Linked DNA regions of Drosophila melanogaster. The protein of the gene in region 1 purifies or fractionates together with the protein of each later gene. This does not show direct contact. Each region holds a gene or a part of one and is shown on either strand. Other genes may lie near its edges.

Region 1 (3,836 bases):
TACCGCCTACTCCCCTATCTATATATATATATTTATATATATATATATATATATATATATATATATATATATATATATATATATATATATATATATATACTTTCGTGGTCTGCACTTTGCTGCCTGTGTTCATATATATCTTTCCGATTTTTAAACACTTAAGCGCGCATTTCCCGAGCGGTGGGCAAATGGGATGCGAGATGTGGGAGCTGGGAGTTGGGGCAGCCCTTTGTTTACGCAACAAAATCATGTAACTAAGATAGAGAGCATATAAATTGCGTTAGACATACACAACAAAACAATTGCATTAACGTTTCGATTTAACAATGTAAGTAATGGCCCTGCGGAGGAAAGTTACACAACGCTAGCTAATAAACTATAGCTATAATATGAAATTTGTTTATAAGTAATACCAAACCGTAAAATAAAAAAGGAAAATGCAAAAAAAAAACTTAAATTCTAAATGCGCCAAGAGATAATGAATGGGTAAAAATATGAATATACATTAATATAAACTATATCTTATGAGAACACGTAAACATGTAAACCCCACAGCGATCGGCTGGCTAAGAACTAACAAATCAAAGAAATGCAAAACACAAATCGGATCACTGAACGCAGAAGCCACTAAAACTTAAATAAAAGTACATTACGTGATATTTCTTACAAATTGTTTTGTTTTCTAATCGGTTTGTTTCAGTCATTTTACTTTTATTTTTCGAACACAACTCCATTCGAAGCGCACGCCTTGCAAACGACCAACCTTGTAAACACGACCATATAGCGCATTCAGATTAGGGGATCCGCGACCGTGGAGAAGCCCCAATCCTCCTCCCCAAACCGAGAATTGAGAACCTAGTGATGAGTGTACATAAGAATAATATCCGAACCCCAAAAGTATAAAATTAAAATATATACATATGTGTGATTTTCCTCCTAGCATACAGAGTACTAAACCTAAACCATTAGCATTTTATTGATAGAAAAGAAACGAAATCGAAGCCCGACAAACTGATTCATAGCGATTATGAGCCACTAGAAATGGAGAACTAAATGATCTTGTATGAGCGAGCAGTCCATTCAGCATAAGCGAAATAGAGAAACTAACAAATTGAGAACATAGTAATTTCGAAGGTTTTGTATAATTAACTGTATATGTATATTGAGAATAGAATTTTGAACTAATAACTAATTATACTAATTGGATCGAGTTCGAGTGTATCATGGGCGATATGAGAGAAAATCATTAAAAATAAACCACCAGTGATATGGAATACAAAATAACCACAAACGAAATCGAAATCGAAATCGAAGCGGTTCATGAAACATTTCAAAAGTACGTTGGATCGGAATTCGACGGATGTATCGATAAGTGCACGATAAGGCCACATTTATGTAATTAGCAAGTATTTCGAATTAAACCGAACATGGAATATGTATGTGTGAACAGAATAAAAGCAGCTACTAAATAAGCCACACCACCATTCACAATAACAATTACGAACGAGGCATTAAAAAGCTTAAACAATAATAACACGACTCATCAGATTTGCTTATTGTGTTGTCAAACAGAAGTTGGGGGAAATTGTGGAGCTAAATTCCACCGTAAATGAAGGTTTCTTAAGTGAAGGATTTGAATATTCGATAATCTGGCAACGCCAATATACAAAAACAACCAGCCCTGGTCGAACAATCTGGCTACTCTACCGGTCAGCTGTTTTGCGTCTTTTTCGTGCTTGCGCTTTAAGGTCACTCTGAGCACGTCTTATTTTTGTTGGGTTGGCCCTGTAGTTTTTCACCGAAAAGGGTAAGGCCGAAATAAACAGATCGAAGCGATGCATGAGCTTGCGAAGACTTGACACCGATTAACCAATTGCCGATATTCCAGGTTTTGCTCCACGAACAGCAGCTAGAGGAACTTCAAAGATGGGAGCCCGACAGTCTCAATCCCGCGAGCCCCGAACCGTTTCAATGGAAAACCCAACTCCTGCCGGCGTTATTGATATATCCGACGATGTGGTCAAGCGACTGAAGGCGGGAATATCCCAGCAGGGTAAGCAATCCAATGGCATTGTGGAGTTATATCCGGAAATGACCATTTCACTCTGCTCGGTGTTATGCAACAATTGTCAAAACGGGCAAATGTTTACGCCAAACACAGTGGAAACTCGTTAACGAGAACAGCAGCAAGTTGTAGAGAGTGGCTCTTCTATCTTGTTCACAAAAAAAAAACGCACTTGAAAGGGTGTAGTTTTGGTTTCATTGGCTAGTTTCCATTCCTATTTGTATGTTTTTTTCATTAAACTATTGATTTATATCTTGTCCAATTCAGCTCGTGAGCACGCAGCCGCTGCGGAGGAATCGAAACCAGTGCCCAAGCCAACGACGAAGGCTGCCGCCAAGCCAGCCGCATCCTCGCCAGCTGCTTCTCCTGCTCCGAAAGTATCCTCCTATCCCGCTGCAGTGCCCATTTACGTCCAGGGAGGAGGACACACCATTAGCGCGGCCGATGTGCAGCGCCAGATGAACCAGGAGCTAATCAAGAATGACGAGCTGTGGAAGGAGCGCATGGCGAAGCTGGAGGAGAACCTCAAGAAGACCAACACCATCCTGGAGAAGGAGTACGCCAATGCTGTAGAAAATGTGCACAAGCGATTCGTCAGCACCGCGTCGTCGCACAAAGTGCCTCCCTGCCAGGACCTGAAATCCCAGCTGCTTGCCTGCTACCGCGCGCATCCCGGGGAGACCTTGAAGTGCATTGAGGAGGTGGCCCAATTCCGACAGTGCATCGATCTTCATCGCGTCCAGAAGCTGGATGCGGAACCAGAGTCGTCGAAAGTGACCTCCAAGGCCACCGTTCCTGCCAAGGCGGCCTAGGATCCTGGCAAATCCTTTTGTCCTAATTTGTTGACTTTTCTTTGAGGCCCCTTATGGGTTTTGTATAAACGATTGAGCGATCGATGGGGATGTACTCAAAACTTAAGCAAAAGTGTCATTGCGAGCGATAGTAAACTAACTTAAATGAATCAATCCATCGACGTTTTTATGGCCGGGATATTCTATTCAAGTTTACCATGACAAAAATAAAAAACATTGCATATTTTTCAGTGTATCTATTTGTTAAGTTGCAACGATCACTCCTCCATCTCGCTCACTCTCTCATTCAACGAAGCCATCCGTACGTCTATAAACTTTAATAACAATTAATATATTTAAAACAACATTAATTACAGCCCGCGACCGCGCAAAATAGCCGCAGTGGCAGCAGTCAAAATGGGGATCAAGGAGGCTCCCACAACAGTGGCGCCATTTCTCTTTGGATTGGGTTTGTCCAGCGGCCTATCCTTTTGCCCATCCTTGTGATCCTCACAGGAGTCATCGAAGTCCTTGGCAGGACCCAAACAGCCCGCGTAGCTCATCACATAGGCCAAGTAGTTCTGCTCGAAGACCCCGCGAATCAAACTGGAACCAGGTCCATATGCAAAGACAGCCACATCCTCGCCGCCGTGCGTTTCGTCCTTTCTGGGAACCGTCGCCAAGTGGCGATAAGTGGGAGCAGCCCGCTCCTCAGCGGTAAAATGCTTCAGGGGCATCCACATGTTGGAGCTGTTCTGAGGTCTGGAGTCATTCGCCAAGTGATCCCAATAGCCAGGACCTGAAAACATTCAAAGTTTGTTTTACCAGAAAATTCTGATAATGCTAAGGTCTAGCTTACCATTGGCATACGAGATGGTCTCGTAGAACATGGGATCGTTTTTCTCGTGTGAATTAGCTGTCCCCAGGATATCAGCTCCACGGAGCGCGTAACCATTAAAGGTGACCGCGTGGGAATGGTC
Region 2 (5,810 bases), 9.0 Mb from region 1:
TCGACATTTTGCTATTCGGTTAGCTAGATCTTCCCGGCTGTTGATCCAAACTCAAAAGTGTGTCCTTTGGCCACGCGAAATTTTTGATTGCGATGTGATTTTTGCTCCGGTGCCAAACCGAAAAATTTCAATAGGACCAAATCGACCACGCAAACCAGCTGATTGCCTCTGACTACCAGGGCTGGCGATAGCCGCCCACGAAACTGGCGCGTCCAGTGCTGGCTAACGACCAACTATCGCGATTTTGGCGTTCGAAAATTAGTAACGAACATATACGATTATTTAAGGAATAAATTTGGCGGCAACCGCATAGTAACCTGTTTTTGAATACATTTGCCTTGCCTACCATGCTTTCTTTTCAGAACAGAGAAATTAAATTTAGCCAATGCATTTTATTTGAATTTTGACATTCAGCATACTTTTTAGTCAACTTATTTATTATATTAATTTTTTTCGCTAAATTAAACAACAAGTGGATGTTCTTTATGTTTATTTATGGCCTAATCACATTGTTCTTCAGAAACACAAAGCTTGCCAATTTCAGCTTTAGTAATATATCATATTCCATTCATGCCTTGGTATCGAATTTTTTACAAATCTTCCCAGAGTATTTATGTTTTGGATTTTATAATGATGGTTTCTATGTTTAATTTGTATAATTGAAGCTAAACAAAATGTTACAAATATATGTATATAAGTGCTATTTCGTTTCAACTGTGATCGCTAATTGGACAAATTACATATTGTTGGTAATCGTACCATCTTCTCCTGGACTAATAACAAATAGTAAGTGTATCATCTTGTTTCTGAAGGAAGGGGACACGGGACGTAGTCTACAAATACAATAGTCCGCTGGCAGCGGCGTGAGCCATCAAGGTGTTGGCCGCCTGCTGAGTCTCCAGCATGAGGCGAGCCTCCTTCATCCACTCGCCGGCAATCTTGCGCGATGCACCCTGCAGCAGATTCATGTACTTGAGCGCCTGCAGAAAGTCGCTGCGATCCACATGGTACCTGTGAAACATAATATATATAATATATATTATATAACTCTAGTGATAGATGAATCAATCGCCTCACCTGGCCCTGTTTAGGATATCGTAGGTGTCCAGTTTGCTATAGTCGAAGGGTTTGTTCTCGAGTTCGTCCTTGGATATGGGATTATCGGGTCGCAAGATGAACAGCGATTGCAGATAGGACAGGAAGTAGATGGGCAGGCCGGCTCCTTCCTCGGGCACCAAAGCCAATCGTCGCGCCACGCGCTCCACATTCAGGAAACGCTCGCGCAATGCATCTTCTGGATAGACACCGCGCTCCTGAGCCTCCTTCGGGACGCTTTCCAGCACAGCGGCCACCAGGTCGTCACCCTCTGTAAGCATATGCATTTAGCAACTGAAATCGAAATGTGGGAAACGTTTCAACTTACTAGCCACCTTGGCAATGGCATTGATCTCGTTCTTTAACGGGCGCAACCTATCCTTATAGTGCACGCCAGGAGTGGCAGCGCGCACGGAGGCCCACAGAGCTTGGCAGGCGGCCCAAAGGGCCTGCGCCTGATTGGCAGTACGCTCTGCATCCGCACGCTCTGCAAAAATGTTGCATATAATGTCAATAAACATTTTGATTAAACCAAGAATAAGTTGGTATAAGTACTACCCTTCATATAGGGTGAATATACCTTGAAACTCATCCTCTATCTCTAATATAGCAGCATGTTTTGAAAAGGTTTGAAAACCATTATATATCTAGCCACGCTACACTAGCTACATTCAACCGATATCGTTTAAAACGTATAACTTACCTGCCAGAGCCGCGTCCATTCCGCGCAGCTTGCCGAGCATCCCGGCCAATTGTAACTTATAGTTGGCCTTTTCGGTCGCCAGCTTATCCTCAAGTTCACGCTTAAAGCTTCGCGTCAGATCGGTCTCCCGCTGCGCCACGATGTCCTTTATATGATCGGCGTGGGCCTCTGCTTGCTTTTTGAGCTGCAAGCGCAGCAGCTTATCAGACTCGGCGTGGATGTGGAAGATTTTCTTTTGATTTTCCACGGCCAGTTTGCGCCGCTCGGCCTCCAAATGGTATTCCAGTTGGGCGCGCAAAGCCTCCGAATCGTTGTCACCGCGAACCGAGTCAATAGCTCTCTTCAGGCGCAGCTCACCATCGGTTTGCAAGCGCTGCAGCTCCTTCTGGTAGGCCAGGACATGGGTGTAGGCGTGCAGGATGAACAAGTCTAGGTCCTCCTTTGACAGATTAAGTTTCTTATCCGCCAAACTGAGGCCGGGGAAGATAGACTCGATCTCGTCAATGAAGTAGTTTCGCGCCTTCTCCACATTCCGCCAGTACTTGTCTGACACGCTGGCCGTGTCCTTGTGCCGGTAAAGCTCGTCCTTTACGTTGCCAATGTGGTCCACAAGCTTCTTGATCTTGTCGCGCACTGCCTCTACTTTCTTTGCGTTTTGGGCCGTTGCCGCAGCACTCAGGGCGATCTCGCAGGCGACTGCAGTTGATAGAAGGGAATGTTACTGAAATTTGGAATCTATTTAACAAACAATGGACTTACCAATCTTCTCCTGAGCCTCACGGGCAGCTCGCTCTGCCGTAGCCACTGCCGTATCACGGGCACTTGCTCGATTTTTCAGCGTGGTCCAAAGAGAGTTCTCTCCATTCTCTACGGCCTTGTCTACAACCTTACGGACATCGTCATTAAAGCTGAACGATATTTGATTAAATTTAAAATCACGCAACGAATAGTTAACGAGAATTGCTCACCCTTTCAAAACGCCAATAGCGACGTTGTACTCCTTGACGGCCAGTTGAGCAGACAGCTCGATGGCTTTCTCCAGCTCAACAACATCGCGGGGCAGCGGATTATCCTTAGGCTTGGCAGCGGGCGCAGGCGCTGCTGCTGCTGCTGGCTTCGACACTGGCTTCGCTTCAGTCTTGCTGACTTCGCTTGGTTTTGAGGGTCTCTTTTCCTCAGCAGGAGTGGCCTTCACGGGCTCCACTTTGGACTTCTTGGACTTGTCATCGCCGCTGCCGCCGCCAAACAGGCCCGTCACCTTAGATGTAACGGAGTCCACCGTGGACGTCACTGTCTCGATGCCAGACTTGACCTTATCGATCTGATCGTTGACGTTCTTGGTGATGCCCTTGAATGGCGGTTCCTCCTGCAGAGCCACCTTGATGACGGATCCTGCGCCGGGTACATTCTTCTCCACCAATTTGCGGAAGTCGTCGTCGTATCTGGAAAAGGATTTCTACATTATTCGATGGTTCATTTAAGCATTTCAGGTGCAATAAAATGTGTACGAATTTTTGTTGATCTACAGGTGGACTGCCTATCCTTATCTTAAACCTCTATTGTGGCTCTATTTACTTGGCGTAGGTGATGACACCGCCGACAGCTGCCAGTGGTGAGACGAAGAGGACCACTTTGCCGAAGCCAGCTTCGCGCATATGCGGTGGCAGGCTCTGGTATCCTTGATATCCTTGATCGCCTTGCTGTCCCTGCTCCTCCTGCTGCCGCCTGCCCTGTTCCCGGCCGCCACTTCCGCTGCTGCTTCCGCCGAATTGCCTGTTGTTTGCGGTCGTCTGCTGCAGCGTACGCTGTTGCAATGAAAGGTAATACATTTAGGACCATCACATTTAAGGAAATTGGCAAGCCCGTTGATACCCCCGCGCCCTTGGTCAACTGGAATTTTGGAGCTTTTCGCCCAATTCCTGGGCTTGGTAGATGACATAACCAGCGCCTCTTGTTGTATTTTCGCCAACCGCTTGTTTGTGGGCGCGCGGGGGTGTGGGGCAACGTGACGATCGATTTTCACGTTATCAAATAGCTAGAAATGAATGGGTCAAAAATTCACCTGCAGGGCGCACTTGCACTGATCTCGCACCGCTAGCCGATACATGGTGTTGATTTTGCTGTGATCCTGCTCTGCTCGTGCTCCTGCTCCTTCGGCTACCGTAAATTTCAAGTCCCGGCGGCGTGAATTAAATATTGCCCAATTCGTTCGAAGCTGGCTCGACTGCGTCAGCGCTGGTGGGTGAATGGCTGGCCAGTGCTGCTGCTTCCTCTTCCATTCCCCACACTCCCACGCACACGCACACGAGTCCTGCGTGCTGCTCGTCGTCCTTTTCGTTTCGCTTGCCCGCGCCACTCGAATTTGATCACTCAATTTTGGTTTGTGTTTTGATGGAAAAAGTGTCGGCAACATATACGCATGTACTCGATAGGCCAGTCAAAATACATTTGATTTGGAGATGGGCGCATAAGTTTAAGCAACAATTTTTATAACAAGTTTTAAATTGTCAGAATTGTCAGTGTTCTACAAATGGATTACATGGTTAAGGGATCCTTTTGCCTTAATTGTTATCAACGAAAAATTGAACTTGATCCATTCCTTGGGTGAATCCCAAAACATTTGCGATAGTTCTTATGATGACCGGTTCCCATCTCCAATAGCAAGCTAATCTATGTTTGTTCGCTGTGAATGGCACACAGCTGACTGTTACGCGATTCGATAAGAAGAAGAGCACCTGCGTTTTGTATGGAATTATAGGTTTATCTTTGTCGTTTTAAGTGAAATGCTAAGAACTTTTGTGACAAGCGGTAAGTTGAAGTCAGCTAATAGGGCTTACAAGTTTACGTTACTTTAATTGTTCTTAACTTTCAGCGCTGCGAAGCGTTTGCCGCCAGTCGCCGGCTGCATCTTCGTTGGTTCCTCTGGTCCAGCGGACACAACGTGCCACTTTGATGACTCTATCCCGTCCGTGCCTGTTGCCCACGCCATCACTGGCATCTCCTGCTCATCACCAGCTCCTGCAGCTGCCGGGTGTGCTAGCAGCCACAGGAACACCATCAAACACACGCAACGTGACCAAATTCTCGCTGGTGAAGGGTAAACGAAAGACCGTCAAGGCGGTACTGAAACGTTTTAAGCGCCTGGACTGGGGCGCCTGGATACGCACCCATTCCGGTCGCCAAAAGAAGCTCTTCAAGAAATCCGCAGCTTTACGACGCCGCCTCAAGCAGCACGTCTTCACCAATGCCACGCAGAGCTGGCTGCTGGACAAGATGGTCACCAGCTATTGGCGGCGCCCAAAGCATTTCATCAACGATCCCTATAAGCCCTATCACAGCCGCAACGAGTACTACGCCACACAGTCAAAGACCTTTAAGGTGTGACCTGGCTAATCAAAGATACTACATACTTGAATTAAACAAAACCAAAATATCTGATTATAGTTTATCTATTGAAAACTACAAAATCATCTATTAAATGCCATTGTTTCACTAATAACACAAACTTTACAAACACAACAAGCCAAATGAGTTGACAATCTTAGGGAGCCACAATCTTGTTGCACAGCTTGCCCAATCCAACAATCTCCGACTGCACGACATCACCGGGCTGAAGGAATTCCGGCGGAGTGCGATGCATGCCCACGCCCTTGGGCGTTCCGGTGACTATGATGTCGCCGGGCAGCAGGGTAATGGTCTGCGACAGACGATTGATCACATCGTCCAGCTTGAAGATCAAGTTGCCGGTATTGCCGTTCTGCTTCTCCACGCCGTTGACCCAGGTTTTCAGATTCAAGTTGTAAACATCCGGCACCAGACTCTTGTGCACCACAGCCGGTCCCAGCGGCAGAAAAGTGTCCATCGACTTGCCCATAAGGAACTGACCACCGTTGCGTTCCTTCTGCCAGTCGCGGGCGGAGATATCCTGGGCCACCGAATACCCGAAGACATAGTCCATGGCCTGCGATTTGGGCACCTGGCGGGCGACCTTGCCAATGACACAGACCAGCTC

Evidence for each region.
Region 2: the proteins of Chchd3 (region 1) and Mitofilin purify together in Drosophila melanogaster (affinity purification with mass spectrometry, with the first as the bait; one large-scale study listed by BioGRID). This does not show direct contact.

Annotation. Positions count from the first base shown.
Region 1 is NT_033777.3:31,051,804-31,055,639, reverse strand, and holds Chchd3 (Coiled-coil-helix-coiled-coil-helix domain containing 3), read left to right. Parts: upstream 1-1,724; 5' UTR 1,725-1,807; intron 1,808-1,888; 5' UTR 1,889-1,926; coding exon 1,927-2,053; intron 2,054-2,332; coding exon 2,333-2,877; 3' UTR 2,878-3,024; downstream 3,025-3,836. Other genes in the region: Alp4 (alkaline phosphatase 4), read right to left, coding at 3,228-3,655, 3,716-3,836.
Region 2 is NT_033777.3:22,019,027-22,024,836, forward strand, and holds Mitofilin (mitofilin), read right to left. Parts: upstream 4,049-5,810; 5' UTR 3,906-4,048; coding exon 3,861-3,905; intron 3,604-3,860; coding exon 3,374-3,603; intron 3,241-3,373; coding exon 2,767-3,240; intron 2,707-2,766; coding exon 2,558-2,706; intron 2,495-2,557; coding exon 1,799-2,494; intron 1,697-1,798; coding exon 1,676-1,696; intron 1,583-1,675; coding exon 1,424-1,582; intron 1,367-1,423; coding exon 1,078-1,366; intron 1,012-1,077; coding exon 834-1,011; 3' UTR 707-833; downstream 1-706. Other genes in the region: Idh3b (isocitrate dehydrogenase 3b), read right to left, coding at 1-7; mRpL35 (mitochondrial ribosomal protein L35), read left to right, coding at 4,582-4,606, 4,671-5,182; CG6028 (uncharacterized protein), read right to left, coding at 5,340-5,810. UniProt on the Drosophila melanogaster protein: Component of the MICOS complex, a large protein complex of the mitochondrial inner membrane that plays crucial roles in the maintenance of crista junctions, inner membrane architecture, and formation of contact sites to the outer membrane.